Linked DNA regions of Anolis sagrei. The protein of the gene in region 1 interacts with the protein of each later gene in a pairwise test. Links are inferred from orthologs where the notes say so. Each region holds a gene or a part of one and is shown on either strand. Other genes may lie near its edges. The genes, in order: transducin-like enhancer protein 1, TK1, transcription cofactor HES-6-like and FOXA2.

The links.
Region 2: the proteins of transducin-like enhancer protein 1 (region 1) and TK1 interact in a two-hybrid assay, tested with the Homo sapiens proteins (2 studies listed by BioGRID and IntAct). The link is inferred for Anolis sagrei from reciprocal best matches to the Homo sapiens genes TLE1 and TK1.
Region 3: the proteins of transducin-like enhancer protein 1 (region 1) and transcription cofactor HES-6-like interact in binary tests that used the Homo sapiens proteins (3 or more experiments, as listed by UniProt). The link is inferred for Anolis sagrei from reciprocal best matches to the Homo sapiens genes TLE1 and HES6.
Region 4: the proteins of transducin-like enhancer protein 1 (region 1) and FOXA2 interact in a two-hybrid assay, tested with the Homo sapiens proteins (2 studies listed by BioGRID and IntAct). The link is inferred for Anolis sagrei from reciprocal best matches to the Homo sapiens genes TLE1 and FOXA2.

The regions. Positions count from the first base shown.
Region 1 is NC_090022.1:227,808,719-227,816,280, forward strand, and holds the start of transducin-like enhancer protein 1, read right to left. Parts: upstream 3,001-7,562; 5' UTR 2,301-3,000; coding exon 2,229-2,300; intron 1-2,228. UniProt on the Homo sapiens protein: Transcriptional corepressor that binds to a number of transcription factors. Inhibits NF-kappa-B-regulated gene expression. Inhibits the transcriptional activation mediated by FOXA2, and by CTNNB1 and TCF family members in Wnt signaling.
Region 2 is NC_090022.1:128,418,832-128,425,917, forward strand, and holds the start of TK1 (thymidine kinase, cytosolic), read right to left. Parts: upstream 3,022-7,086; 5' UTR 2,890-3,021; coding exon 2,824-2,889; intron 2,539-2,823; coding exon 2,507-2,538; intron 243-2,506; coding exon 129-242; intron 1-128. UniProt on the Homo sapiens protein: Cell-cycle-regulated enzyme of importance in nucleotide metabolism. Catalyzes the first enzymatic step in the salvage pathway converting thymidine into thymidine monophosphate.
Region 3 is NC_090023.1:229,029,141-229,036,222, forward strand, and holds the start of transcription cofactor HES-6-like, read left to right. Parts: upstream 1-4,075; 5' UTR 4,076-4,385; coding exon 4,386-4,463; intron 4,464-4,579; coding exon 4,580-4,666; intron 4,667-6,449; coding exon 6,450-6,534; intron 6,535-7,082. UniProt on the Homo sapiens protein: Does not bind DNA itself but suppresses both HES1-mediated N box-dependent transcriptional repression and binding of HES1 to E box sequences.
Region 4 is NC_090024.1:140,313,619-140,320,665, reverse strand, and holds the start of FOXA2 (hepatocyte nuclear factor 3-beta), read left to right. Parts: upstream 1-4,024; 5' UTR 4,025-4,083; coding exon 4,084-4,170; intron 4,171-7,047. UniProt on the Homo sapiens protein: Transcription factor that is involved in embryonic development, establishment of tissue-specific gene expression and regulation of gene expression in differentiated tissues.

The DNA.
Region 1 (7,562 bases):
CTACAGTGGGTTGCTGTGAGTTTTCCGGGCTGCATGGCCATGTTCCAGAAGCATTCTCTCCTGACGTTTTGCCTGCATCTATGGCAGGCATCCTCAGAGGTTGTGAGCTTGTTGTGAGCTTTGTTGGAAACAAGGCAAGTGGGGTTTATATATCTGTGGAGTAATGTCCAGGGTGGGAGAAAAGAACTCTCATCTTATGGAGGCAAGTGTGCATGTTGCAATTGGCCACCTTGATTAGCACTGAATAGCCTTGGAATAGTCAGGAAAGAATGCTTCCGGAAACATGGACCTACAGCCTGGAAAACCCACAGCAACCCAGTGATCCCAGCCATGAAAGCCTTCGACATCACAGCAACTAAAGTGCTTGTTTAAAGGCGAAGTAAATGCATTTATACGTTGTAATATGTTGTAAGCCACTTTGGGTCCCGTGAGGGAGAAAAACAGGATATAAATAAAGATTTGTTGTTGTCGTTGTTATTTGGAAGAGTAAATGTTATAGAGATTGAGAATCCCTTGTTAGAAAATCCGAAATGCTCCAAACTCCAAAAACATCCCACGGGTGTCTTGAGTGACAGACACCTTTGCTTCTGGGTGCCTCGGGCATACCCAAACTTTGTTCCATGCACAAAAAATATTGTATAGAAAATTACCTCCATTTTAAAATACAAAACACTGCATAGAAAAGTAACTTCAGACTAAGTGCATATGTATGGAACAGCAATTAATTTCATGTTCAGGCTTTGGGTCCCACCTCCAAGATCTCTCAGCAGTCCAATGTTTCAAAATCCCCCCACCAAACAATTCCCAACCAAATATTAAGCATTCGAGTGACCTGCTCCAATACCACATCTATATAATGCCATAGCATATGCCAACTTGGAGCAACTTGGACTCTCCAGGGGTTTTGGACTCAAACTTCCACCATTCCTAACAGTCTCAGGCCCATTTCTTATCTCCACCTCAGCCGCTTAAGCACCCTAGACATTATTCCACAAATAGACAGATAGATAGATGATAAACCCCACTTGCTTAAGCGGCTGAGGGGGAAAAGGAAAGGGCCTGAGGCTGTTAGGAATTGTGGGAGTTGAAGTCCAAAACACACCAAGGGCCCAAACTGGCCCATGCCTGATATATATACTATGTGTGTATTCTATCTGTACACATGCAGAGACACACTAGTTTGGGGGATATTTTAGTATGTATCCCAATGGGTGAGTCATTATACTATAGAGTGAATGTAGCCCATGACTGATAATGTATGTACACTCCCTCTCTGTCTCTCTCTATACACACACGCGCGCACACACACAAACTAGTTTGGGGGTATTTTAGTATCACAATGGGTGACTGATTCTACACTGTAGAGTGAATGAAGCCCATGCCTTATATATATATACACACACACACCATATATATACTATACACACACACTAGTTGAGGGGCATTTTAGTAACCCAATGGGTGAATCATTCCACACTGTAGAGGCTGTATGGCCATCTGTCAGGGGTGCTTTGAATGCAATATTCCTGCTTCTAGGCACGGGGTTGGACTGGATGGCCCATGAGGTCTCTTCCAACTCTATGATTCTATGAATGCTGTCCATGCCTGATATTTATACTATATATATATCACACACACTAGTTTGGGTAATATATATATGCACACTACTTTGGGGGGTATTTTAGTATCCCAATGGGTGATACACACACATACTATACATATATACATATACACATACATACATATATATACATATAATATATATATATATATATATATATATATATATATATATATATATCTCACACTAGTTTGGGGGTATTTTAGTATCCCAATGGGTGATACACACACACACACACTAGTTGAGGGATATTTTAGTATCCCAATGGGTGAATCATTCTACACTGTGAATGCAGCTTGGGATCCCGGGAGTTGTAGTTTTCTCGGGGCACATCTACACCAGGCATGGTCCAACTTGGGCCCTCCCTCCAGGAGTTTTTGACTCCAACTCCCACCATTCCTAACAGCCTCAGGCCCCTTCCTTTTCCCCCTCGGCCGAGTCCAAAACTCCCTGGAGGGAGGACCCATAATGTTTCAAAGGGATTGAAGTTTCCAAGGTTCATGCGCGCTTATCCATTTCTACGGGAAGCATTGCCCGCACAATAATATTATGATCAGTCACCACCATCACCATCCCAGAGGTAAAGGGTAGTTAGGATATACGTTACATTATAGAGAAGACACGCGTGTTGGTGGGGAGAGCGGGGGCCACTTACGGGGTGCCGGCTTTGGGGGAACATGGCTGTGGGGGAAAGGCAGCTCCCCAAGTCCTCCTCCTCCTTCCGAAGTTTTCAGGCCCGAAGCGAAGCCCTGGCGCTCAGCCTCTGCGGCTCCGCATCCTCCCGGCGCCTTTGTTCCTTCCTTCCTTCCTTCAAGAGGGGAAAAGAGGCCCAGAGCGGGCTTCGAACCCGGAGAGAGCGAGACGCGGCCTTCCTTCCTTCTTTCCTTCTCTCTTGCCTTGCCTTCGGCTCCAACTTAACAAGCCAGGAAACGGGACGAAAAGCGAGGCTGTTTTGTTTTCTTTCTTTCCCCGAAGGAATCAAATATGGAGGATCTCCCAACACGGCTCCAAACCACCAAACAAAAGCCCCGCGCCGTCCAAGGCAAGGCCGAGGCCACACTGGGGTTATTATCCCAAAGCGAGGAGAGAAAGGCGCCGCAGCAGCAGCAGGAGCAGAAGCCGCCTCATCCCCGTCGGGCCGCTCCTCTCTCTCGTCTCCTTCTTCTTCTTTCCCTCAAGTTCGTTCCCTCGGAAACACACATCCAAAGCAAGGGAATCAGATACGAAATAGATCCGAAATAATAGAAAAGGACAAAAGGGGGGAGGGGAGGGAGGGAGGGAGAGCAAGAACTCCGCGGGACAACGCAACTCAATAAACGGCACCCAACGTCTCCTCCGCCCGCGCTGGTTACATTAACACGCGGTTTCACACTCCTCGAGCTAACCAGGCTCCTCGGCCCCGCCCCGAAAGCGGATCGCAGCCAATGGGGTGCTCGGGTACCAACGTGGGGCTGTGACGGGACACCAATGAGAGGGCCGCTTTGGCAACTCAACGCCGCCCCCTTCGCCCCGACTCTGTCCCCGCCCCTCCTCCTTTTCCGAGGAAGGCTTTCGAGGCTGAGCGAGGCTGAGCGGCAGGACCCCTCCGAGCGAGCCAATGGGAGGCGGTGGAACGCTCAGACAGGGGAAGGTCGGGGAGAAGGAGAGTGGCGAGGCGGAGGTGTCAATCAAAGTAACGTGGGGCAGTGAGAGAGAAAGAAGGAGAAGGAGAGAGAAAGAGATGACTATATGGGGCTCTCCTCCTCCTCCCCTCCACCTCCGCCCCGCTTTCTCTTTTATTATTATTATTCCTTTACCTTGCCCGGCTCCCTCTCTCTCTCTCTCTCTCGAAATCTGTGGAAATAACACAGGGAGATAAATAATGCATCCCTGGTCCAGGACAGGCAAGGGCTGGAGGAGCCAGGTGGAGGCTGCCCTGTTTAAGCGGATGGAAGGACGAAAGGAGGCAGAAGAGATTCCCCTTCCGTTTGTCAGAAGGAACCAGAGGGCCACCAAGAGGAATGAGGCCCCGTTTACATATATATCTCTCTCTGTGAACACATTTATATTTATAACGGCGGTCCAAGCAGTCATGCTGGCCACATGTCCTTGGAGGTGTCTATGGACAACGCAGGCTCTTCGGCTTAGAAATGGAGATGAGCAGCGCATCCCAGAGTCGGACATGACTGGACTTAATGTCAGGGGAATACCTTTACCTATACATTTATATATACTTTCATTATATATATATATATATATATATATATATATATATATATATAGTGGAGCAGGCAGGCCCGTAGCCAGGATTTCGTGGGGGGGGGGGGGGGGCTGAATTTTTTTCAGGCTGAGTCTGAGTGAAAGAGGGTCTACCCTAGCAAACCTTTTGTATCGTTACTTCAGTACCCCCATGCATATGGGATATATTGAGTATGGTGATCAGATCATGATATCAATAAACATAACAGTTTAAATAATGCACCAGTAAGGCCTTTTTGCGAACCACCATGAGAATTTCCGGGGGGGGGGGGGGGCTGAAGCCCCCTGAGGCCCCCCCCCCCCCCCCCACATGCCTGGGAGCAGGCATCCTCAAACTAATAATAATAATAACACTTTATTTGTACCCCACTACCATCTCCCCAAGGGACTCGGTGCGGCTTACATGAGGCCAAGCCCAAATACAACAATACAAGCAATAATAACAACAATACAAGCAATTAAAATAAAAAACATGGACAATACAATAATGCAACATTAACAATAAGACCACACGATTAAAAACGATGGGAAGGCCAAATGTAAAATTAAAATTGAAAATAATGCTGGAATATGGGCGCAAAAAGTGATGGGGCGTTTGTGGAAAACATACAAGCAGACCTAAAAAATATTAAGTGCTTTGGCGGACAAAGTGCAATGGGATCATTATTCTGGGGAGGCTCCTCCTAAAAACTGCGGCCCTCCAACTGTTTGAGCCTTCAACTCCCAGAATTCCTGATAATTGAACAAGCTCATTTGAGAACAGTTGCAGTAGAGTCTCGCTTATCCAACCTTCGCTCATCCAACGTTCTGTATTATCCCTTCGGGGGGATATAAATATAGGGTGGGGTATAAATATAGGAAATAAATAAATAAAACGCAGTCTGCCTCCCACCCGGATCCACCGCTGTTTCAAAACATTGCAATGTTTTGGTGCTAAATTTATAAATACAGCCATTACTCCATAATATTACCATATATTGAACTGCCTTTTCTGTCCATTTGTTGCAAAACATGATGTTTTGGTGCTTAAATTGTAAAATCTTGATGTAATTTGATGTTTAATAGGCATTTCCTTAATCCCTCCTTATTATCCAACGTTTTCGCTTATCCAGCGTTCAGCTGGTCCATTTACGTGGGATAAGCAAGACTCTACTGTATGTGCTGCTTTGCTTGAGGGTATCTTGTTGGAAATATATTCTTTTGGGTCTTCCAGGGCTGATTCAACTAATCCTTCATGAAAAGGTAGTACAGGTTGCTACTGTATTATTGTTGTTGCATTTTGGGTTTCTTTTTCTCTAGTCCTTTGCCACAGACTGGCAACCAATGTGTTGTGAACTAGGACTGGCTACTGACCACCACTTTAATCTTGTAATAATGATACTATAATAATGTACTCTACTGTACATACATATACACCAGGCATGGGCAAACTTCAGCCCTCCAGGTGTTTTGGACTTTGACTCCCACAATTCCTAACAGCAGGTCCAAAACATGTGGAGGGTTGAAGTTTGCCTATGTCTGATCTAACCTAACATCCCATATAATTATAATAATCATTATCATCACCATTTTATTACTTATCCACCTCTCCTCGTGGCTCAAGGTGGGCTACAACATAGCTAAAAACACATAATCATCACAAACATTATATAAAATACACATATTAAAATGTATTTCTGCAAAATGCCAATATTAAAAATACACAGAGCAGAGATTAAAATACAATGAACACAACACATGATTCAAACTATCCAGGTAGGAGTGTGTATGTGTATATGTGTATATGTGTGTGTGTGTGTGTGTGTGTGTAGAGAGAGAGAGAGAGTAAAGGTTTCCCCTTTACCCTTTGGAGTGGTGCGCATCTCCATTTCTAATCCGGAGAGCCAGAGTTGTCTGTAGACACCTCCAAGGTCATGTGGCTAGCATGACTGCATGGAGCACCATTACCTTCCTGCTGAAGTGGTACCTATTGATCTACTCACATTTGGATGTTTTAGAACTGCTAGGTTGGCAGAAGCTGGGCCTAATAGCGGGAGCTCATCCCGTCCTGAATTTGAACCACTGACTTTTTGGTCAGCAAGTTCTGCAGCTTAGCAGTTTAACCTGCTGCACCACCATAGCCCCTTCATACAGAATAGAAGGTCATAATTCAGAGATCATGCTTATTTCAGTAATAGCTAAATATTCTGCATAATAATAACTTTTAAATAGCTACATGAGCAATTGTTTGCTATTAAACAAAGGACTGATTGAAAGTGTTCACAGATCTAAGGATCACTGCAGCTGCTGGAGTCTTTTAAGAGTTCGTATGGATCTAAGGGAAAGAGAAGAAATCAGGTTGGCAGAAGCCGGGCCTAACAGCGAGAGCTCACCCTGCTCCCCAAATTCAAACAGCCAACCTTCTGGTCAGCAAGTTCAGCAGCTCAGTGGTTTAACCCACTGCGGCACCAGGGGGTCCATACACACATATATACATGTACACATAAACACACACACTCGTATTTATAATACAAATGCTCGCATACTCTCAGCTAACCAGTACTCTCAATCTGAACTTTTAAGCAAGTGACAAAAAATAGAAGAAATCACACTTTAAATAAACATTAAAATGCATGTATGTATGTATGTTACTGTAAAAGTGTGCTAACATTCAGTTTGTCTGTACTGTATTTGTCTTTCTTTCTTTCTTTGCTATATTTCAATATTAATATCGTCAACATAGAGTTTTCAGCAGTTGTATAGTATTAGGCCTATTTTTAAGATTGCAGCCAGACCACGATCTTTTACCAGGGAAGGCTAAATTGGCTGTATGGATCTTTTAATTAATGACCATTGCTATATTTTATTGATTCTATTGATCTTGTTATTTTTATATGTTTCGTTTTAAATGTGTTGCTGGTTTTAATTTTGCTATATTGTATTTTATATGTTGTATGGCACCATTGTGTGCTTGTAACCCATCGTGAGTCCCTTTTTGGGAGATGGTGGCAGGGAATAAATAAATAATTATTATTATTATTATTATTAACTCTGAAGAAACAAGAAACTACATTTCTCGAATATTCAGGCAGACGACCTCGTCAGAGATTCTTAACTAGTCCATGGCCTTGTTTTCTTTAAAAGGGATTATCTTTTAAAGGACTATCTTTTAAGGGATTAAAATTAAATCTCAGTGCAGACTGACTCATCCTTTGTAAGCTTCCCTGTCCAGGCGCTGTGTTGATCCTCCCACCCCTTGAAGAACTTGCAAAGGTAAACAAAGTCTTAGGGTGCGTCTATACTGTAGAATGAATGCATTTTGAGATAGAATGAATGCAGTTTAACACCATGTTAACTGCCATGGCTCGGTGCTGTGAAATCATGAGAGCTGTAGTTTTACAGGCATTTAGCCTTCTCTGCCAACAAGTGCTGGTACCTCACCAAACTACATATCCCAAGATTCCATAATACAAAGCCATGGCTGTTAAACTGCACTAATTATACAGTGTAGATAGGCCAGGGCAGGAATGACTCCAGAGCTCCCATTGTCCTTTGCCTGCAATGGGAATGCTGGGACTTGCACTCCAATCATTATTGGAATCCTGTCCTCCCCTTTCAGAGAAGATTTGCTATGGTGCCATCAAGCCACCACATTCCTGTCCCTGCACTTCATTAGGGCTTCAGAAGAGATTGTAAAAACAGTGTAGAAAACAACCTGAGGAGA
Region 2 (7,086 bases), about 99 Mb from region 1:
ATCAATGACATAGAACAACATACATGTATTTTGTACCCACGGTTGTTTTTTGATCAAGCAAAAAGAATTACATTTGAATTTTCTTTCTGTTAAGGTGAACTGTATATACAATGCCTTTAGCGCCTCACCTGTCATGCGTGGAAACTCCATTGACACTGTAGCGCATGTCCTTCGCGTACTTGATCAACAGGCACTTGTACTGCGCAATCTGGAAACGTCGGACTCTGCGCATGAGTTCGGTACTGCAAAAACAAGAAGGGAGGCTACTCAGGAGTACTTAGCACCCAGAGGAGGAGGACTGAAGCACAAAACTAGTGACTTTGATCACCCTGCCTCAAAAAACCCATAATGCCTGCTATCTCCCCAAATCGATCTCCCTGCCAGGCCCTTTGATTAACGGCATTCCTTACAATTTTACCATCAGAGAAACAGCAACATTATAGGTCTGGACAAGGCATGGGCAAACTTGGGCCCTCCAGGTGTTTTGGACTTCAACTCCCACAATTCCTAACAGCCTAACAGCCTTTAAGAATTGTGGAAGTTGGTCCAAAACACCTGGAAGGCCCAAGTTTACCTGTGCCTGGACTCTGAACATGTGAGTCCAGGCACACAGTCCAATCCCAGCTTTATAAGAAAGATAGGCAATTATTGCTATTTTCTGGTTTCCCCCCTTTCCTTACAGTTTCCATCAGCCTACCCAGCAGTAAGGAATTTGGGGAGTTTTAGTCCAAAATAACCAAATATAAAGGACACCAGTTACCTGTCCCTGCATTACAGGAAAGAAAGTGCATAGCCAGTGAAATAAAAGTAGAGTCATGGCTGACCTTCCTGGGAACAAAGATGCCACCAAGTGTGGCTCAAAACACACTCTGGCACATATCTTAACAAATATATAATCCATCAAGATATGCTTTGGTTCCTTTTTGCCTAGGTTTCTATATCACAGCCAGTTTATAGACTTGCCTTTCCCATATCAGTTTCCTCCAAATAGTTTGAACTTCTGGGTTGCTGTGAGTTTTCCTGGCCATACGGCCATGTTCCAGAAGCATTCTCTCCTGACATTTCACCCACATCTATGACAGGCATTCTCAGAAGTTGTGAAGTCTGTTGGAAACTAGGCAAGTGGGGTTTATATATCTGCAGAATAATGTCCCGGGTGGGAGAAAGAACCCTTGTCTGCTTGCGCAAGTGTGAATATTGCAATTGGCCACCTTGATTAGCATTAAATAGCATTGCAGCCTCAAGGCTGCTTCCTGCCAGGCCTTGAGGCTGCAAGGCTATGTAATGCTAATCAAGGTGGCCAATTGCAACATTCACACTTGCCTCACTTGGAGGTGTTACCTCACCCTGATTGAATCTTATCTGGAATTCCCCTCTTTTGTTAGTGTTCTTCTTTATCTACTGCCCTGATTTTGGAGTTTTTAAGTATAGTTAGCCAGATTTTTTTTTCATTTGCATGGTTTCCTCCTTTCTGTTGAAATTGTCCACCTGTTACTGAATTTCAGCAGCTTCTCTGTGTAGCCTGACATGGTGGTCGTTAGAGTGGAGGAAACTATGAAAATTTTTAAAAAAACTCTAAAATCAGGACAGCAAATAAAGAGCAACACCTACAAAGCAGGGGAATACCAGGCAGGAATTCCAGCTAACACCTCCCAACAAAGGCTCCCCCAGGCAGTAAGCAGCCAGGCTTTGAAGCTGAAAGGCCATTCAGTGCAAATCAAGGTAGCCAATTGCAACATTCACACTTGCCTCCAACAGACAGGCGTTCTTTCTCCAACTCTGAACATTATTCTAGATATATAAACCCCACTTGCCAAATTTCCAACAGACCTTACAACCAATGAGGGTGCTTGCCATAAATGCAGGTGAAACATCAGAAGAGTATGCTTCTGGAACGTGGCTAGAAAACTCACAGCAACCCAGTGATTCCGTCCATGAAAGCCTTCGACAACAGTTTGAACTTCCATTCCCAATGCTCCTATCAGGAATATAGGGAGCTGTAATCCAAAAAACCTGGACTTTACCACCTTCTGTGGCATTTTATGAAAGTGCAGGCAAGAACTATCTAGTCCAACTTCTGCTGTGCAGGAATTCACAGTTAAAGCTCACTGAGGCTGGATCTACATTATATGATCAGAATAGAACCATACAATGCAGTTTAATGTAGTTAAACCACATTATTTGGGTCTATACTAGGCATGGGCAAACTTTGACCCTCCAGGTAGTTTGGACTTCAACTCCCACAATTCCTAACAGCCTACTGGCTGTTAGGAATTGTGGGAGTTGAAGTCCAAAACACCTGGAGGGTCAAAGTTTGCCCATGCCTGGTATATATTGACCATGCAATGAAATTCCAAACTGCATTAGATGGCAGTGTAGATCCAGCCTGAGGGATTATCATGAGAACACTAGTAAATGTAATTGATAGTACTTGAACATGTAATGAAACCAGAACCCAAGTCACAGTTGTGTTCAGATACATGTTCATTTCATCTCTCTAACATACCTTTTCCCGGAGAACATGGGTCCAAAGATGACCTAAAGTGGGGAAAGAGAGAAAAAAACCGTGTTGAATTTTACCCCGTTCGTGTATTAGTTGGTCCTCCTTATCCACGGTTTCTGTATCCACTGATTTCCCCATCCACGGCTTGAAAATATAAAACCAGTCACAAAAAAAGGATGCCTTGATTTTCCCAACGTTATATAAAGGACACAATTTCCCCACTCCATTGTCTATAAAGCCCCTGACCCATAATTGCAGACCCTGCATCCCAAACTCTCATTGACCCCCCTGCCCTCCCCAGAAATATCTCCTTTTCCTACCTGGATCTGGCCCCGGGCCTTGCGAGGCGACCCCGGCTGCACCCCTGGCATCATCAAGCAGTTCATCTTCCCAAATCCCGCCGGTGTTTCAAGGCACAGACGCTTGAATCAACAGCCTCTCCTTTCAGCGCGCCGTTTTTGCCCTCTTTTATAGCCGGCGCTGACAATGGACCAATCAGAACGGGCCCTGGCACCAAACTGGCGCTCGAAAGACACTTCGGCGCGTCCTGGCCAATCACAGGCCAGGCGGGAAAAAACTACATTCGAAGTGGTTGACCGCCTTCGCCTCCAGAAGCTAAAGAGGGAAGTCTTCCTCCTCTCATGTTTTGCTGATTGGGGAAGAGGCATACACACACACTTCCGGAACTAGTCTTTTGAAACTCTTTGGTCTTATCAAAACGTCATTTTCTCCTTTGTTTGCGGAGACTTTCATCTTCATAGAATGAAACAGCTTGACCCCCGGCTCAATACCATGGAATCCTGGGAGCTGTAGTTTTCCAAGGCCTTAGCCTTTCCTGCCAAACTACAAATCACACTATTCCTTAGTAGTTAAAGTGGTTTGCAGTTTCTCAAGTCGCTCCTCACACGAAAAAAAATATTAAAGTGGGTTCAAAGCCTAAAATGTATTGTCGAAGGCTTTCATGGCCGGAATCACTGGGTTGTTGTAGGTTTTTCCGGATTATATGGCCATGTTCTAGAGGCATTTTCTCCTGACGTTTCGCCTGCATCTATGGCAAGCATCCTCAGAGGTAGTGAGGTCTGTTGAAAATACTAAACTGGGTTTATATATCTGTGGAAAGACCAGGGTGGGACAAAGGACTTTTGTCTGCTGGAGCTAGGTGTGAATGTTTCAACTGAATGTTTCAACTTGATTGGCATTGAATGGCTTGGAAGTGCTACACAGACTACACAGATAAGCCATTGAAATCCACAAGCATGTGGACAATTTCAACAGAAAGGAAGAAACCATGAAAATGAACAAAATCTGGCTACCAGTATTAAAAAACTCAAAAATTACAACAGCAAAACAGCAGAGAGTAAACAACCAGGCACATCAAATCACTCTCAACAAAAGATTCCCCCCAGGCACTTCCAAGCCATTAAATGCTAATAAAGGTGGTCAGCTGAAATATTCATGTAGGGGACCCCCTGCTTGGGGTCCTTGCTGAGTCCGTCACAGAGGGCAGCAAAATGAAGAGAGTCTAGTCTCCAGAGGTAAAGCAGAAAATCTCTTTATTTCAAGTGTGGCCACACAGGGAGAAACAGCCCAGACAGACCAGTGTCTTCAAAGAGAGCTGTCTCTGATATTTGGATATTTCAGTCTCCTTATATACATGTCTTTTCACTGTGTCATGGGCACACACCTCTCTTATCGGATCAACCATTCAAAAACATGTTTTTCTCATATTTTGCCACTTCAGTGTCTTTCACTGCTAACCTTCTACAAACTACGTAAACACACACATTATTGTTACAGATAAGCATTTTGGGTGTTAACCCACCCTGAGTACTCTCTAGGCGAACTTGACAATACAGTATCTTGTGTCTTCCAGATTCATTATCTCCTCTTAGCTTTTGGTCTTCTGCAGGCCAGAGGAGAGGCACAAACCCCTCTCTAGGTTTGCATTTTAGAATTTCAACATTTCTGAGTTCTGTTAGCCCCTTCACTCCTCCATTATTTTTTTTTTTGCGAAAGCTGATCATACAGAAGCTGAAGCAAGATCAATATCTAGTTATAACATTTTTATGATACCCCAGCATTCTTGTAATCACCACCAATTGCCACGAAGTGGGAACCGCACTTGTGGTGAACTTATCACACATCTTCATGATGATGGGAAAATACATCAAGGAGAGCTCTCGTGCACACACACATTCATTCATACTCATGCACACACAGGCCTTCTCCGGCAAAGATGATCAGTCTTTTCTGAGGAAGCGTGGACACTCCATTGCTGCAGTTCAGGAAGCATGGAGATTGTCAGGGGTCCCCTGCATTTATAGGCCAAAATCCATTTTTCTTCATTTCAACAGCAGGTTGCTCTGTCCTCTTACTAAAGGACAATATGTCTTTGTTCTCTCCAAAGTTCAAGACATTAGCATTCCAGGCCTCATGACTTATGGGGTACCTCCTGCACTCCTTACATGCTCGGCCGCATACCTCATTGTCCATTGTTGTTCAGTTATGCCTTGCTGCCTCCTCGCTTCGACTGCCAAGTTCATCCCATATCATGCCTTGCGAGAACTCCATGTTGGTTTTTCTTCAGGCCTGTTTCTTCTCTTTTCCATGCATTCAAACATTCATTCCTCACATATTCCTCCCCTTGATACATAAATGCTAATTTATCGTATCACATACATGATCCATACATGATAAGCAATTCAGTGTTGGTTATACTTATAATCAAACTTGATTAAGTGTAGAGTACATATGTTTAGGTTAATATTGAACTTGTATGATTAATCAAACATCATAGTTCATAAATGTGTTTCTAAACACGTTAACTTGTTTTCAAATATAGATAATCGATTTGTCAATCCTGTCATTTGTCTAAGAGGCCATAAGATCCAAATGATTGGCAGCAATATAAGTATCCCTATCCATACTATTAAATGTATCCTATGAAGATATCATACCAGTGGTGTTCTGTGTTTCCACCAATATAAATCATTAGGTGATATAGCACATAGGCATTACATTCCATTGTCATATACCATTGTTTTGGGCTTTAGCTTTTGTAACCTGCAGATTGCATCTGCCATTTCCAATGCACATGGTTCAACTTGTTTTACTGTTAAAGGACATACATATCCCATTTATTGCATCTATCAATATCAATTATTTCATTCAAATTTGTATATTTGGACCTTGTGCATATGGTTTTCTTGGATAACAAATATGGAACCCAGAACCATTTTCCCACATGCATAGGCATAGGAACTATATCACAAACCAAATTTTTTTCAAATATTGACCATTTTTCCCAAGGTTTCCAGTTTCAATCTTAGTATATCATCTTCCCAAGAATATTTGACAAGCTTACTCCATCCTTTATAATCTGTTCTTAACCAATAATGTAATTTTGTTAATTCTAGGAAGGCTTCTGAGTGTCCTCCCATTATTAACATCAACATTTTTCTCTCCAATCTCTCAAATTTATTTCCATAGTCAAACAACTCATAGACTTACTTATTTGTTGTAAGGTTTCATTTTTAGCTTTCATTAAAGCAACCAAGGAATGATTCAGCTGGTCAAATATACTTAATTGCAATCCGGCAGTAATCCCATGTACCAAAGCTGTACTTCTCTATTTGAAGCTCAATATTCTTCATCCGTTGTATTCTGTGTCTTTCCTTCTATCACTTGGTTGATCTGATTCAAAACATCATTTCATCCTTATTTTTTCTATACCCTTTATACAATAAATCTTACACTTTATACCATATATTGCTTTCATTTGTGTTAGAGCAATTGTTCTTTACCAGTCATGTATTATTATTATTATTATTATTATTATTATTGCACTCCTTAAAAACTATAAAACACAAACAATACATATATTTACTGTTCCAATTAATAGTCCAATTGCAATTTTTTTCATAAGCTTTGCATCCTTTTAATTGGTGGCCAGTTGCATTCCTGTTTAGAAACCAAATAAAGGGGGATATGATAGCCATGTATAAATATGTGAGAGGAAGCCACAGGGAGGAGGGAGCAAGCTTGTTTTCTGCTTCCCTGGAGACTAGGACGTGGAACAATGGCTTCAAACTACAAGAAAGGAGATTCCATCTGAACATGAGGAAGAACTTCCTGACTGTGAGAGCCGTTCAGCAGTGGAACTCTCTGCCCCGGAGTGTGGTGGAGGCTCCTTCTTTGGAGGCTTTTAAGCAGAGGCTGGATGGCCATCTGTCAGGGGTGATTTGAATGCAATATACCTGCTTCTTGGCAGGGGGTTGGACTGGATGGCCCCTGAGGTCTCCTCCAACTCTTTGATTCTATGATTCTATGATTCTATGAAAACTGTTAATTAACTTGCACAGCTTTCCAAGTTTTTCCTGGTTCGGATGAACCCACTTCTATTTATCATTAGCCTGTAATCAATAAGGATGAGGATCTTCTGCTCAAAACTGCAAACACTTTATGAAAACTATCATCAATAAGAGTGAGACTAAATAAAATCTAAAATTACATATATCATGAATGACTTTTCAATGATTTTAAAGCATAGGTTCTTTTTAGTGCAATTTCCAGTGTGTGAAGGT
Region 3 (7,082 bases), on another chromosome or scaffold:
TCCCAATACCTCCATGCATATGGGACATATTGAGCATGGTGATCAGATCATGATATGAATAAACATAACAGTTTAATTAATGTACCAGTAAGGCCTTCTTGCGGACCACCCTGAGAATTTGGGGGGAGGGGGGCTGGAGCCCCTCAAGCCCCCCCCCCCCCCAGCTACATGCCTGATTATATATGCAAATTGGAAAATCCCAGATCTTCATAGGATACTGCTATGCACGAATGTAGCCTAATTGTCTTTCTTGCTGTTCTATAACTCATGACTTCGTACGTCCCAGGGCATTAATGACAATGAGTGTGCCATTGTTGAGAAACAATCATGTATCTCCCTATAAAAGAGTAGAAAGAGCGCTTTTCAGAGGGGAGAAATGATATTTATTCATAGGAACAAATACACACAACCCTCTTTCCCCCTGGGATATTTCTAGAGGGGAAACAATGCTGGTTTGGTTTTTTTGAAAATTTGAAAGAGAACTTCCCACAAAGAGCAGCAATTTAATTTTTTAACTGCTGCAGTAAAAGAAGAGTGAACTCTAGGAAGAGCTTGCTTTCTAAGCATTCATGGGTCATGTTAATGGACTCTGTGAATGCAGTGTTCAATGGGCTCTTCATGATGCATTCAAAACAGCTTTTGACTGTGCCAGTTTTCTATTCAGGAACATGGCATGATGTAGTGGTTTGAGTGTTGTACTGGGATTCTGCCAGACCAGGATTCAAATCCCCTTTTGGCCATGGAAGCCCATTGGATAACCATAGGGAAGTCATACTCTCTCAACCTCAAAGAGAGACAAAGGCAACCCCCTTCTAAATGGATTCTACCAGGGAATTCCCATGATACGGTTCACTTTAGGAGTACCATAATTGAGAAATTATATGAATCATAGAATCATAAAGTTGGAAGAGACCTTATGGGCCATCCAGTTCAACTCCCTTGCCAAGAAGCAGGAACATTGCATTCAAAGCACTCCTGAGAGATGACCATCCAGCCTCTGTTTAAAAGTTTCCAAAGAAGGAAACCACACTCTGGCAGAGAGTTCCCCTGCTGAACGGCTCTCACAGTCAGGAAGTTCTTCCAAATGTTCAGATGGAATCTCCTTTCTTGTAGTTTGAAGCCATTGTTCTGCATCCTAGTCTCCAGGGAAGCAGAAAACAAGCTTGCTCCCTCCTCCCTATGACATGCCGTCACATATTTATACATGGCCCTCATCATGTCTCCTCTCAGCCTTCTCTTCTTCAGGCTAAACATGCCCAGCTCTTTAAGCCGCTCCTCATATGGCTTGTTCTCCAGATCCTTGATTATTTTAGTTGCCCTCTTCTGGACGCATTCTAGCTTGTCAACATCTCCCTTCAACTGTGGTTCCCAGAATTACTGATACACTGATATCAGTGTATCAGTAGTATACTGATATTGCCACTTGTATGATGGAACAGAAGAAAAATGGAGTGTGACCAAAGATAATGTGAAAAATTGGACACATTCCAGCTTGTCAATATTGGACACAATATTCCAGGTGTGAAGATACACAGCAACAGTACAGCAATATACTATTACTTTTACACATTCATGCTTTCACTGTTTGAGAACGAAAATAGCCCAAGATCTCAAATAGGTACTTGCCCCTGCTGAACGCCTACAGAACAGGAATGCACAAACTTGGGCCCTCCAAGTGCTTTGGACTTCAACTCTCACTAAGGAAAGGGCCTGAGGCTGTTAGAAATCGTGGGAGTTGAAATCCAAAGCATCTGGAAGACCCAAGTTTGCCCATGTCTTGTATAGACTATAATTGCATTTTTAAATGAAAACAGATTAAGAAATGTCAGTACAGTGACTAAAAAAGGCCCTAAAACAAACAGGAATGTTGTGGCTAGGTTTGTTCAGAGGGAGGTTGCCCCTGCCTTCCTCTGAGAGAGTGTGACTTGCCTGAGGTCACCCAGTACGTTTTCACAGCAAGCAGGAATTTAAACCCTGGTCTCCAGAGACACAGTCCAATACTGATGTTGGCTTTCTTTTGATCATGATCCCTTTTCGGGATGACATATAACAGGGAGTTTCCTTTTCTTTTGAGGCTGAAAGAGTATGGCTTGCCCAAGGTCATCCAGTGTCTTTGCATGGTGGAGTGAATTTCAACCTTACTCTCCAGTTCTTCTATGTCAACTGAGAAAATTAAAGCAGTTTAACACCACTTCAACTGCAAGTCACTTCTAGAAGGTTCAGGAAGTTTCATCTACGCTGACGATTCCATCACTGCTCAAGCAGAGAGTTTTGAAATGGTTGAACAGAAGCTCTCTGAAGCTTTAGGTGGTCTTACTGCCTATCACAGGGAAAACCAGCTGATTACTAATCCATGTAAAGCATCTTGATCTCTGTGGATTACCTGGGAAGGAATCCCACTGGAACACTGCAGCACACCCAAATACCTGGGAGTTACTTTGGACCATGCTCTGACTTATAAGAAGCAGTGCTTGAATATCAAGCAGAAAGTGGGTGCTAGAAATAATATTGTAAGAAAACTGATTGGCACAACCTGGGGATCACAAACAGATACAGTGAAGACACCTGCCCTTGCGCTTTGCTACTCTGCTGCTGAATACGCATACCCAATGTGGAATACATCGCACCACATTAAAGCAGTGGATGTGGCTTTTAATAAGACATGCCGCATTATCACAGGATGTCTACGTCCCACAACACTGGAGAAATTATACTATTTAGCCAGTATTGCACCACCTGGTATCTGCCGGGAAGTAGAAGCCAGCAATGAAAGGACCAAGGCAGTGACATCTCCAGACCATCCTCTGTTTGGGTATCAGCCAAGGTGATAACCTGCATTAATTCTACAATAGATGCACCCCTAATTTGGCTTGCTGTGAGTTTTCCGGGCTGTATGGCCATGTTCCAGAAGCATTCTCTCTTGAAGTTTCACCCACATTCTATGCCAGACACCCTCAGAGGTTGTAAGGTCTGTTGGAAATTAGACAAGTGGGGTTTATATATCTGTGGAATGTCTAGGGCGAGTGTTTTTTTTGAGGCAAGTGTGAATGTTGCAATTGGCTAGCTTGATTAGCACTGAATAACCTTGCAGCTTCAAAGCCTGGTTGTGCTTGCCTGAGCTCAATTGTTTACCATGTCAGGCTATTGGCTGTATGTATGGTGGGATACAAAGATTAAGTTATCATCATCATCATCATCATCATCAATCAGGGCCAGCTAACACTTCCCAGGAGCCCCTGGTGGCACAGTGGGTTAAACCACTGACCTACTGAACTTGCTTACCGAAAGGGGTGGGGTGAGCTCCTGCTGTTAGCCCAACTTCTACCAACCTAGCAGTTCAAAAACATGCAAATATGAGATCAATAGGTACTGTTCCGGTGAGATAACGACGCTCCATGCACTCATGGCAGCTACATGACCTTGGAGGCATCTGCGGACAACTCCAGCTCTTCGGCTTAGAAATAGAGATGAGCACCCCCCTCTCCCCCAGAGTCGGATACGACTGGTCCTAATGTCAGGGGGAAACCATTGCCCCTAACACCTCCCAACTAAGGATCCCTAGCTAGACTTTGAAGCTACAAGGCTATTAAATGCTAATTAAGGCGGCCAATTGCAACAGTCACACTTGCCTCAAGCAGACAAGAGTTCTTTCTCCCACCTTGGATATAAACCCCACTTGCCTAGTTTCCAACAGACCTCTCAGCCTCTGAGGATGCTTGCCATAGAGGTGGGCAAAACGTCAGGAGAGAATGCTTCTGGAATATGGCCATACAGCCCGGAAAACTCACAGCAACCTAGTGATTCCGGCCATGAAAGCCTTCGACAATACAAACCCTTATTTTTTGTTTATAGAAAGCGTAAGGGCAATCCAGGCAGTCATGCCGGCCACATGATCTTGGAGGTGTCTATGGACAACGCCGGCTCTGAAACGGAGATGAGCAGCACCAACCCCTAGAGTCGGACACGACTGGACTTAATGTCAGGGGAAAACCTTTACCTTTACCTAGAAAGGGTAAGATGGCACGGTATTTCCTTCCCTACTCAAGCCCCTCTTAGTCTTCCTCCTCCTCCCAAGCCTCTCCGAACGCCCTAAGCAGACAAAGCGCCGGGCTCCCATTGGAGGATCCTCCCAACGTTCGGTGCGCCGCGTCCAATAGACTCATTGATATGCAAATCAGAGCTGATAAATACGGCTTGCAGGGGTTGGAAAAAAAAGAGGGGCGGGGAGTAAGCTGGAGGCGAGCCGAGGAAAAAAGGAGCCTCTTTGCGGACGGCCTCCCACTCTCCCCGCCCATTGCCGTCATTACTACGCTCCGCTCTCCGGATTTGGGTTTTTTCCCCCTTCTTTTTTGGCCGCACTGTCGCCCGAGCCCCGCTTTCGGACCATGACGCCCTCGTTTCGGCCCAGCAAGAGCCGGGAGGAAGAGGAGGAGGAGGATGTGGAGAGGAGAGGAGACAGAAGGGTGAGCAGGCAGAGAAAGGGAGAGAGAGGGGTTTGGAGGGGCGCCTTGCCTGTCCCACCGTCCACCATTGGGGTGTCACTTGCCTGTGTTGACTCTCCTCTGTCCCATCTTTCCAGGCGAGGAAGCCGCTGGTGGAGAAGAAGCGCCGGGCGCGGATCAACGAGAGCCTCCAAGAACTCCGGTTGATCTTGGCGGATACGGAGGTATGGCCCTTGAACAGAGGGAGGGGGGGCAACTTGGGGCCTTCCAGGTGTTTTGGACTCCAACTCCCACCATTCCTGACAGCCTCAGGCTCATTCCTTTTGCCCCTCAGCCGCTTAAGAATGTTAGAATGTTGAGACTGGCCAATCAGAAATCACATGCTAATTAGTAGGTAGAGATAGCTCATGCATGGGCCAACTTCGGCCCTCCAGTGTTTTGGACTCCAACTCCCACCATTCCTGACAGCCTCAGGACCTTTCCATTTGCCCCTCAGCCACTTAAGAATGTTGAGGCTACCCAGTCAGAAACCATATGTAAATTAGTAGTTCGAGATAGTTCATGCATGGACCAACTTAGGGCCTTCCAGTTTTAGAATGTTGAGGCTGGCCAATTAGAAACCATATGCAAATTAGTAGGTCGAGATAGCTCATGCATGGGCCAACTTGGGCCCTCTAGGTGTTTTGGACTCCAACTCCTATCATTCCTAACAGCCTCAGGCTCATTCCTTTTGCCCCTCAGCCGTGTAAAAATGTTAGAATGTTGAGGCTGGCCAATCGGAAACCATATGCAAATTAGTAGGTAGAGATAGCTCATGCATGGGCAATCCTGAGCCCTCCAGATGTTTTGGACTCCAACTCCCACCATTCCTGACAGCCTCAGGCTCTTTCCTTTCCCCCCTCAGCCACTTAAGAATGTTAGAATGTTAAGGCTGGCTAATCGGAAACCATATGCAAATTAGTAGGTAGAGATAGTTCATGCATGGGCCAACTTAGGGCCTTCCAGTTTTAGAATGTTGAGGCTAGCCAATTAGAAACCATATGCAAATTAGTAGGTTGCGATACCTCGTGCACGGGCCAACTTCAGCCCTCCAGGTGTTTTGGACTCCAACTCCCACCATTCCTGACAGCCTCAGGCTCATTCCTTTTCCCCCTCAGTCACTTAAGAATGTTAGAATATTGAGGCTGGCAAATAGAAACCATATTTGGCGGGAAAGAGAGAGGGGGCCTTCTCTGTGGTAGCCCCTCGGCTATGGAACACCCTTCCTGTGGATATTAGATCGTGTTTTATATGCTAATCTTTTTAATTGTATTTATATGTTGGGGGGCATTGAATTGTGCCGAATGTAAACTGCCTTGAGTCGTCTTCGGGTTGGGAAAGCGGTATATAAATACAGTTAATAAATCTATATAAATAAAAATGTAATGTTCGTTTATGGGATACCTCAAAAACCACTGGATGAATTGACACCAAATTTGGACACAATACACCTATCAGGCCAACAAGAGACCATCACTCATAAAAACACTGAAAAACACAGCAGAAGAGACTTACAAAGCCAAAAAACCCAATACAGCGCATGCACAAAACCACATATATACACAGGCACACATATATACACAAATATATATACACACATATATATGCATATATACACACACAAAATACATATTCATGGACTAGGCCACAGCAACGAGTGGCAGGGGACAGCTAGTAAAAAACAAATATGCAAATTAGTAGGTAGAGATAGCTCATGCATGGGCCAACTTGGACCCTCCAGGTGTTTTGGACTTCAACTCCCACCATTCATGACAACCTCAGGCTCCTTCCTTTTCCCCTTCAGCCGCTTAAACTGGTGGGTGTTGAAGTCCAAAACACCTGGAGGGCCCCAAGTTAGCCCATGCCTTGTTTAGTGGGTGGCAAAGGAAAGGGGCTTTGATGGGTCTGGGGAGGAGGAGGATCACACTGCCCTTCTGTCTGTCTTTCTCTCTCTCTTCCCAATCTTAGTTCCAGGCCAAGATGGAAAACGCCGAAGTGCTGGAGCTGACGGTGAAGCGGGTGCAAGGCATTCTGCAGCAGAGCAGGTCTCCAGGTGAGAGATGTCTCTATTGCCCGGCTTTCAAGGCTGGAATCACCGTGTTGCTATGAGTTTTCTGGGCTGTATGGCTATGTTCCTTAGAGGCATCATCTCCTGATATTTCGCCCACATCTATGGCAGGCATCCTCAGAGGTTGAGAGGTCTGTTGGAAGCTAGGCAAGTGGGATTTATATATCTTTGGATTAATGTCCAGGGTGGGAGAAAGAACTCTTGTCTGGTTGAGGCAAGTGTGAATGTTGCAATTGGCTACCTTAATTAGCATTTAATGGCCTTGTAGCTTCAAAGCCTAGCTGGGGATCCTTTGTTGGGAGGTGTTAGGTAAAGGTAAAGGCTTTTCCCTGACATTAGGACCAGTCGTGTCAACTCTGGAGGGTGGTGCTCATCTCCATTTCTAAGCTGAAGAGCTGGCATCCATAGACACCTCCAAGGTCATGTGGCCGGCATGACTGCATGGAGCGTTGTTACCTTCCCACCGGAGCGGTAGCTATTGATCTCCCATTTGCATGTTTTCGAACTGCTAGGTTGGCAGAAGCTGGGGCAAA
Region 4 (7,047 bases), on another chromosome or scaffold:
TGGTCTAGAGGCATTCTCTCCTGACATTTCGCCTGCATCTATGGCAAGCATCCTCAATGGTAGTGAGGTCTGTTGGAACTAGGAAAAATATTACTTACTGTTAGCATTAATGTTGAATGTTATACCTATTTTATATACCTGGGGTCACTTAAAAGGGGTCAGGAGTGGAAAAGGTTCAGTAGCCCTGTCCTAGAGGTTGCCCAAAGCATTGCCAGAGCAACCACCCAGGTATGCTGCTCTTGGACATAGAGGCTCCATTCAGGTTTCTCGACTAACTGGCTGGTCATCCCCAGAACCAGTACCTATTATCTTCTATCGAATAATCCGCGTCCACGCTACTCTCTCCTCCCCTATCTCGCACCGAAGACGGTTTTTAGAACTTCATCAAACTATAGAATGAATCCACTTTAAATCCGGTTTCTACCTCCTGCAGAATTCTGGGGTGTGTAGTCTAGTGAGGCTGTTAAAGGCTCCTTCCTAAACTACAAATCCCAGAATTCTGCAGGAGGCAGCAACCGGATTTTAAATTGATTTATTCTCTAGTGTGATGAAGAGGCATCCTGAAGACAATGGTGGGTAATTATTCTGATAGAGTCATACCATTTCCAGGAGGTGGGGCGGAGAGAGAGCCGCAAAAACAGCATCTTCAAGACATGGGATTTTCCCAAAGCTCTTGAAACCGAAGCACGGAGCCCTTCGCACATCTGAAAAGTTTATGCCCAACTTTTCAAAGAGCCGGCTCCATTTCAGTGGAAGGACCTGGCCAAACCGCCTCTGAGTATTTAAAACCCTATAGAATTCACTTAAACAGATGGGTGACTTGAAAGCACACACACACAATGTATTTGAAGCTGCCACAGTACTGTGTTTTTAGTGTGATTATTATCAATTGTTCCTCTGTGAGGCATGCTGGCTCTGGGTAGTGAGCTGCACTTTCCCAGGTCTCTTCAGAGTTTATTATTTTATATTGAAAGAAAAAAGTCAATGTTCCTCCCTCCCTCCCTCCCTCCTCTTTCAGGCCTGATCTGAGCACTTGCAAATGCTATGGCTTGTAATAAGTTAATTGGGAAAGGAGCTGGTTGACATCACCAACATCATGAGCATCAAATTAACCCTTTTAAAGTAACTGATAGCCGCCTTCCAGACAGGCCCTATATCCTAGGATCCCATCCCAGGTTTTCTGCTTTAAACCGGATTATATGAGTCCGCACTGCCAGATAATCTGGGATAAATAGAAAACCTGGGATCAGATCCTGGGATATAGGGCCTGTCTGGAAGGGGGGGGGGGGCATCAGTTATTTTAAAGGAGTAAATTGGGACTCATGATGCTGGTGATATCAACCAGCTTCCTTCACAATTAACTTAGTACAAGCCATAGCATTTGCAAGGGCTCAGATCAAGCCTGAAAGAGGAAGGGCCCTGAGTCTACTACTTCAAAGTGTCTGAATAAGTAGGAAAAGTGCACCCACAACTCCTTTATCTTCACTTTTACAGGGAAACAGTGTGGCGTAGAAGCTTGAGTGTTGGACTATGAGGAGGAAAGTTAGCCATAGAAACCCACTGGGCAACCTTGGGCAAATTATATTCTCTCAACCCCAAGGATAAACCTGCTTTGAATAAACCTGGCCAACAAAACCCTGTTGTAGATCGGGGTCAACACACCCTGTACTGTACTGGAGAGTTAGTGGTTTGAGTGTTAGTCCCAGGAGCCCTGGGTTTGAATCTCTGGCCCCATATAAAATCCAGACAATCTGATTTGAACTGAATTATATGGTAGTCATAATCATCATCATTGGGGATAACTGCGAGTCTGAGTAGGATGGACTTCCAAGCATAGGGTTGTGGCGTGGGTCCATAGGTGACTGTGGAGACCTATTCTAGACCTGCGTGTTCTTCCACAGTGAATACAATGGTTTCCAGATGGAAGGCGGTTCTGTTTAGCACTGTTCCAGTGCAAAACCGATAATCCGGATTATTTGCCTTGAAAATCTGAGGGTCCTTGCAGAAGGCACTATATCCCAGGATCCAATCCTAGATTTTCAGCTTTATATGAGTCCACGCTGCCAGATAATCTGGGATAACAGAAAACTTGGGATCCGATCCAGGGATATAGGGCCTGTCTGGAAGGGCCCTGAATTATATGGCAGTGTAGAAGGGGTCTCTGTCAGCCTTGAAAATCTCTTAGCTCAGGACTTCTTCAACTTTTCCACTCTGGACACCAAGAAATGTTTATGTGACCCCAGGGAATATATAGATATATAAATAGGTATAGGAATATATATATATAGGAATATATAGATATATAAAACCCTAACATTGACGATAGTATTTGCAAGGCTTACTAAACAGGCCGGTTTCCTTTTTATGAAGTACAGCTCAAGCATCTGCTGCAGAGTCCACTGGAAACACAGCACAAGGGATTCATGCCAGTGCCTAAAACAGCCACTAGGTGACAATTGAGAAAAGTTTGACAATTGCCAAATGTTCTTGGGACCTGAACATTGAAAATTAAACTGTGGGGTCAGGACTGGGAAGGGACCTAAGGCTCTTAGGGCCCTTACATACATCCCTATGTTCCAGAATATCAAGGCAGGAAATCCCACATTATCCAGACCCTTGATCATTCTTAGTCGCCCTCCTCTGGACACATTCCAGCTTGTCCACATATGGTGCCCAGAATTGGACACAATATTCCAGGTGTGGTCTGACCAAGGTAGAATAGAGGGGTAGCATGACTTCCCTGGATCTTGGCACTAGACTCCTATTGATGCAGGCCAAAATCCCATTGGTTTTTTTGCGGCAGCATCACATTGTTGGCTCAAGTTTCATTTGTTGTCCATGAGGACTCCCAAGATCTTTTTCACACCAGAGTCCCCCATTCTGTATCTTTACATTTCATTTTTTCTGCCTAAGTGGAGTATCTTGCATTTGTCACTGTTGAACTTCATTTTCTTAGTTTTGGCCAATCATCTCTCTAATCCAGGGGTTCTCAAACTAAGGGGAGGGAGCGGATATGGCCCTCCAAGGCCCTCCAAGGTAATTTACCTGGCCCTTGCTCAGGGTTGTGTGTTTTCAAGTCTGAAACTACTTGAAAACACACAACAACAACAACAACAACTCTATCTCATCAGCCAAAAGCAAGCCCACACTTCCCATTGAAATACTAATAAGTTTATAGGTATTTGTTAAAATAGTTCTTCATTTTAATTATTGTATTGTTTTTAAGTGTTTTTTGCACTACAAATCAGATATGTGCAGTGTGCATAGGAACTCGTTCGTTTTTTTCAAATTATAATCCGGCCCTCCAACAGTTTGAGGAACTGTGACCTGGCCCTCTGTTTAAAAAGTTTGTGGACGCCTGCTCTAATCTGTTAAAATCGTTTTGAATTCTGCTGCTGCCTTCTGGAGTACGGGCTATCCCTCCCAATTTGGTGTCTCCCACAATACTGGAATATATGGCAGTGTGGACTCAGATAACCCATTTCAAGACAAATCTTGTGGAATTTTGATATTCTGAGACCTAGGCTTGTTGGGAAGGGCCCACAGAAGAGGGGAAAGGGGAAAGGGGGGCGAGGGAATCCCAAGGCAGGCGGGGATCTGCTGCTTATTCAAATGGCTGGGTGAGGACCTGGGGATTGGAGGCTCGCTTGGCCGCCGGCCGCTATATCTCTCCGGCGCCCACGTCACTGCAGCACTTGGGTTCCTCCTCCTCCTCCTCTTCCTCCTCCTCCTCCTCCCTCCCTTCTCCTCCTCGCCTTTGCCTTCGGCTCTGGGCGACTCTTCCCGGCGAAACCCACCCAAGCAGTAGCCGAAGCGGCAGCAGCAAGGCGTCGAAATCGCCAGCAGGGAGAACCCCCAAAGCTGAGCGAGTTCGCCCCCCTCTTTTCCCCCCAGATCGAGGGAGGGAGCAAGGAAGGGAGGGAGAGAGAGAGAGAGGGAAAAGGAGGGAGGGAGGCAAAGAGGGAGGGGGCTGTTTTCCTCTCTCTCCCTCTCTCTCCCTCTTTTTTTTGGTGGCGCTCTCTCTCTCTCCCTCTCTCTCCCCCTCCGTCGCCGCTTGTTGTGGCTGTTAAATTTTAAACTGCCATGCACTCCGCTTCCAGTATGCTGGGAGTCGTGAAAATGGAAGGACACGAGCACGCGGAGTGGAGCAACTACTACGGCGAGCCCGAGGTAAATGGCAACGCGGGTCTTGTTTGCGCGCGGATGTGCCTCTCTCTCTCTCTCTCTCTCTCTCTGTGGGTCTCTCTCTCTGTGTGTGTTTGTGTGTGGGTCCCCCACCCAATCCCCAAGCCGCCTCCTCCTGCGGAAAAAAACACACAGGACTCCCTCGCCGCCGCTCTCCCTCGCCCGCTTTTTATACAACGCGGTGTTAGCCTTGAGATAATATTAACTTTGTGATCAAATATTGACTTGCGAAGCCTCCAAATCCTTTTGCCATGCCTAGCCGCGCTATCCTAACAAAGTTGTGTTTGGCAGACAGAGAGGTTGGGTTTGGGGATGGGGGGGGGGGGGGGGAGGAAGGGCATGGGGGGAGGTAGAAGGAAACGGGGAAAGCGGGGGGACGAGGGAGGATGGCCAACCTCGAGCGGGGAAGTCATCAAGGTGGAAGGGGAACACTTCCCACCTGAACTTTCTCCTTCGCCCCACAAGGACTTTTGCCCGATATCCTACATTTTCCAACATCCTGGCGGAAAAGTTTCACGCCACTTCCACTTCGGTTTGAAACCCAATCCTCCAACCCAGTGGATAGAAAGGCACATCGGAAGGCAACTTGCCGTCTTAGATCCGGCTCGCTGTGCTAACATTACACACTTGGGAAGAGTAGACTCTCCTAGTCCAGCTGGAAAAACTGCAGCTTCCGTTTCCTTCTCCAATTCTAAACACATGGGAAAGAAGTCCCATTGGTCTCAGATGCCCTTCCTTCCCGGTCAACCTGTTTTTTAGGTTGTAGGTTTTTGCGGGCTATATGGCCATGTTCTAGAGGCATTCTCTCCTGACGTTTCGCCTGCATCTATGGCAGAGGTAGTGAGGTGTTTTCTCCTTAGCAAGGTGCATTAGGGATCTTAACCTAGGGATCTTAAGCAAGGTGCATTAGGGATCCCTAATGCTTCTTCCGAAACCTATAAACCAGCTTTTGATGTTTCCATCTGATTCCTTTACCCCCTCCCCCCCCCCATCTTCCCAATCTCGATCCTAAACATTTAATAGGCGACCTCCCACTGAAAAAAAATTGAGATTTAAAACGGGAAGAGTGGGAACCCAAGCTATTAAGAAAACTGGAATCCCACTTAGGTGGGATTAACACCCAGGTCCTATTCTTTCACGCTTTCTTTCATTCTGGATGAACGCTGCCATATAATGCCGTTTCGGAATGCAGATTAACTCACTGCATTGAACTGGATTCTATAGCAGTGTAGCTTTAGATAATCCAGTTCAATGGCGTTAATCTGCAGTGTAGATCCAACCCTATACTGTCATATAATACCAGCCATAGATTCTGACCAATAATGTAGTTTGAACATTAAATGCTCAGGGTAGAACTATATGATGCTGTTTGAATTGCAAGATATATGGGTCTACCTTGATCATTTAAATTGCATTATTGGCCAATGGAGAACCAGCCTCAATTAGGTGCCTTTGCGGACCAGAAGCTAACTATGGACACGATCCAGGCACCTTTTGGCATTTAATCGAGAGAGAGAGCCCTTCTACACTGCCATATAAAATCCTTATCTGCTTTGGAACTGGATTATATAGCAGTGTAGACTCATATAATCCAGACAATGTGGATTATCTGTTTTGGTCATCTGAATTATAGGCAGTGTAGATCCAGAAATGTTGACGATTTCTGTGGGGCTTCTCAGCCAAAGGCTTGGCTGAGAAGTATATTGACCATGACATACAAAATTTGTGTCGACACAAACAATCTGAAACATTATAAATATTTCATAGCTAGGATATAAAGTTATATTGTGGTATGTAAACTTCCATTCATATCACAATTTCTAATGTTTTTTAAACAAGTTGTTTCTAAATCTTGAGATCTCAGAGTTGCATTATTCAATATGTTAGGAGGGCTTATGCTAGGAGAGCAAAAAACATTGAACAACCAATTTCTCTTCATATAAAGATGCTGCCATTGTCTTTTGGAGCCAGCTTTAGTTTGGGGTTTCCTGATCCCCTTCGCTCAGTGTTGGGATCACCCAAAATTTGGCAACAGGGAAAAGGTTTCTGAATGCCACCCGTACACACCAATTGGACGTGCAGGCTGTGTAGTGAACTCTGCAGACAATGCTTCAGCTATGATTCACCAAATAGAAAGTCAGGAGCCCCCATGGCGCAATCCCTTTGCGGAGGTTGAGATAGGAGAGGGTATAAATGTCCATAATAAATAAATAAATAAACCCTTGCGGAACCAGGGAGCAGGGTGAGCTCCCGTATGTCAGCACCAGCGTCTAATGGGGGGACATGAGAGAAGCCTCCCACAGGATGGTAAAACACCCCCTGGACAACGTCCTTGCAGACGGCCAATTATCTCACACCAGAAACAACTTGTAGTTTCTCAAGTCGCTCCTGACACATACAGGCTGTTTAAGCAAGCCTTGCGAATGCTGTTGATTATTATCACTATGTCACAAAATTTGCAAAAGGTTCTGTTTCTGGTTTTAGAGTGTTGTTTCCTGTTTTATTGTACGGCACTACTTACTTGGAAAGCAGTTGTTATACTCGAGAAACTTCGGGTTTGTGTCTGCCGCAATCTAGGCTGAATTGGTTGTGACTCTAATGAGTATTCATTGAAAAATAATCCAAGGTGTGCTGCAGGATGTCCTGCAAAAACACAAGTTTTTGCAATTTAATATGCTCTTCCTATGTTTTTATGATAGAACCGATTAGGAAAGATATTGATAGTTCAGGAAGAACAACAATATTATAATAATAATAATAATAATAATAATAATAATAATAATGTATTGTCGAAGATTTTCATGGCGGGAATCACTGGGTTGTAAGTTTTCCGGGCTGTATGGCTATGTTCCAGAAGCATTC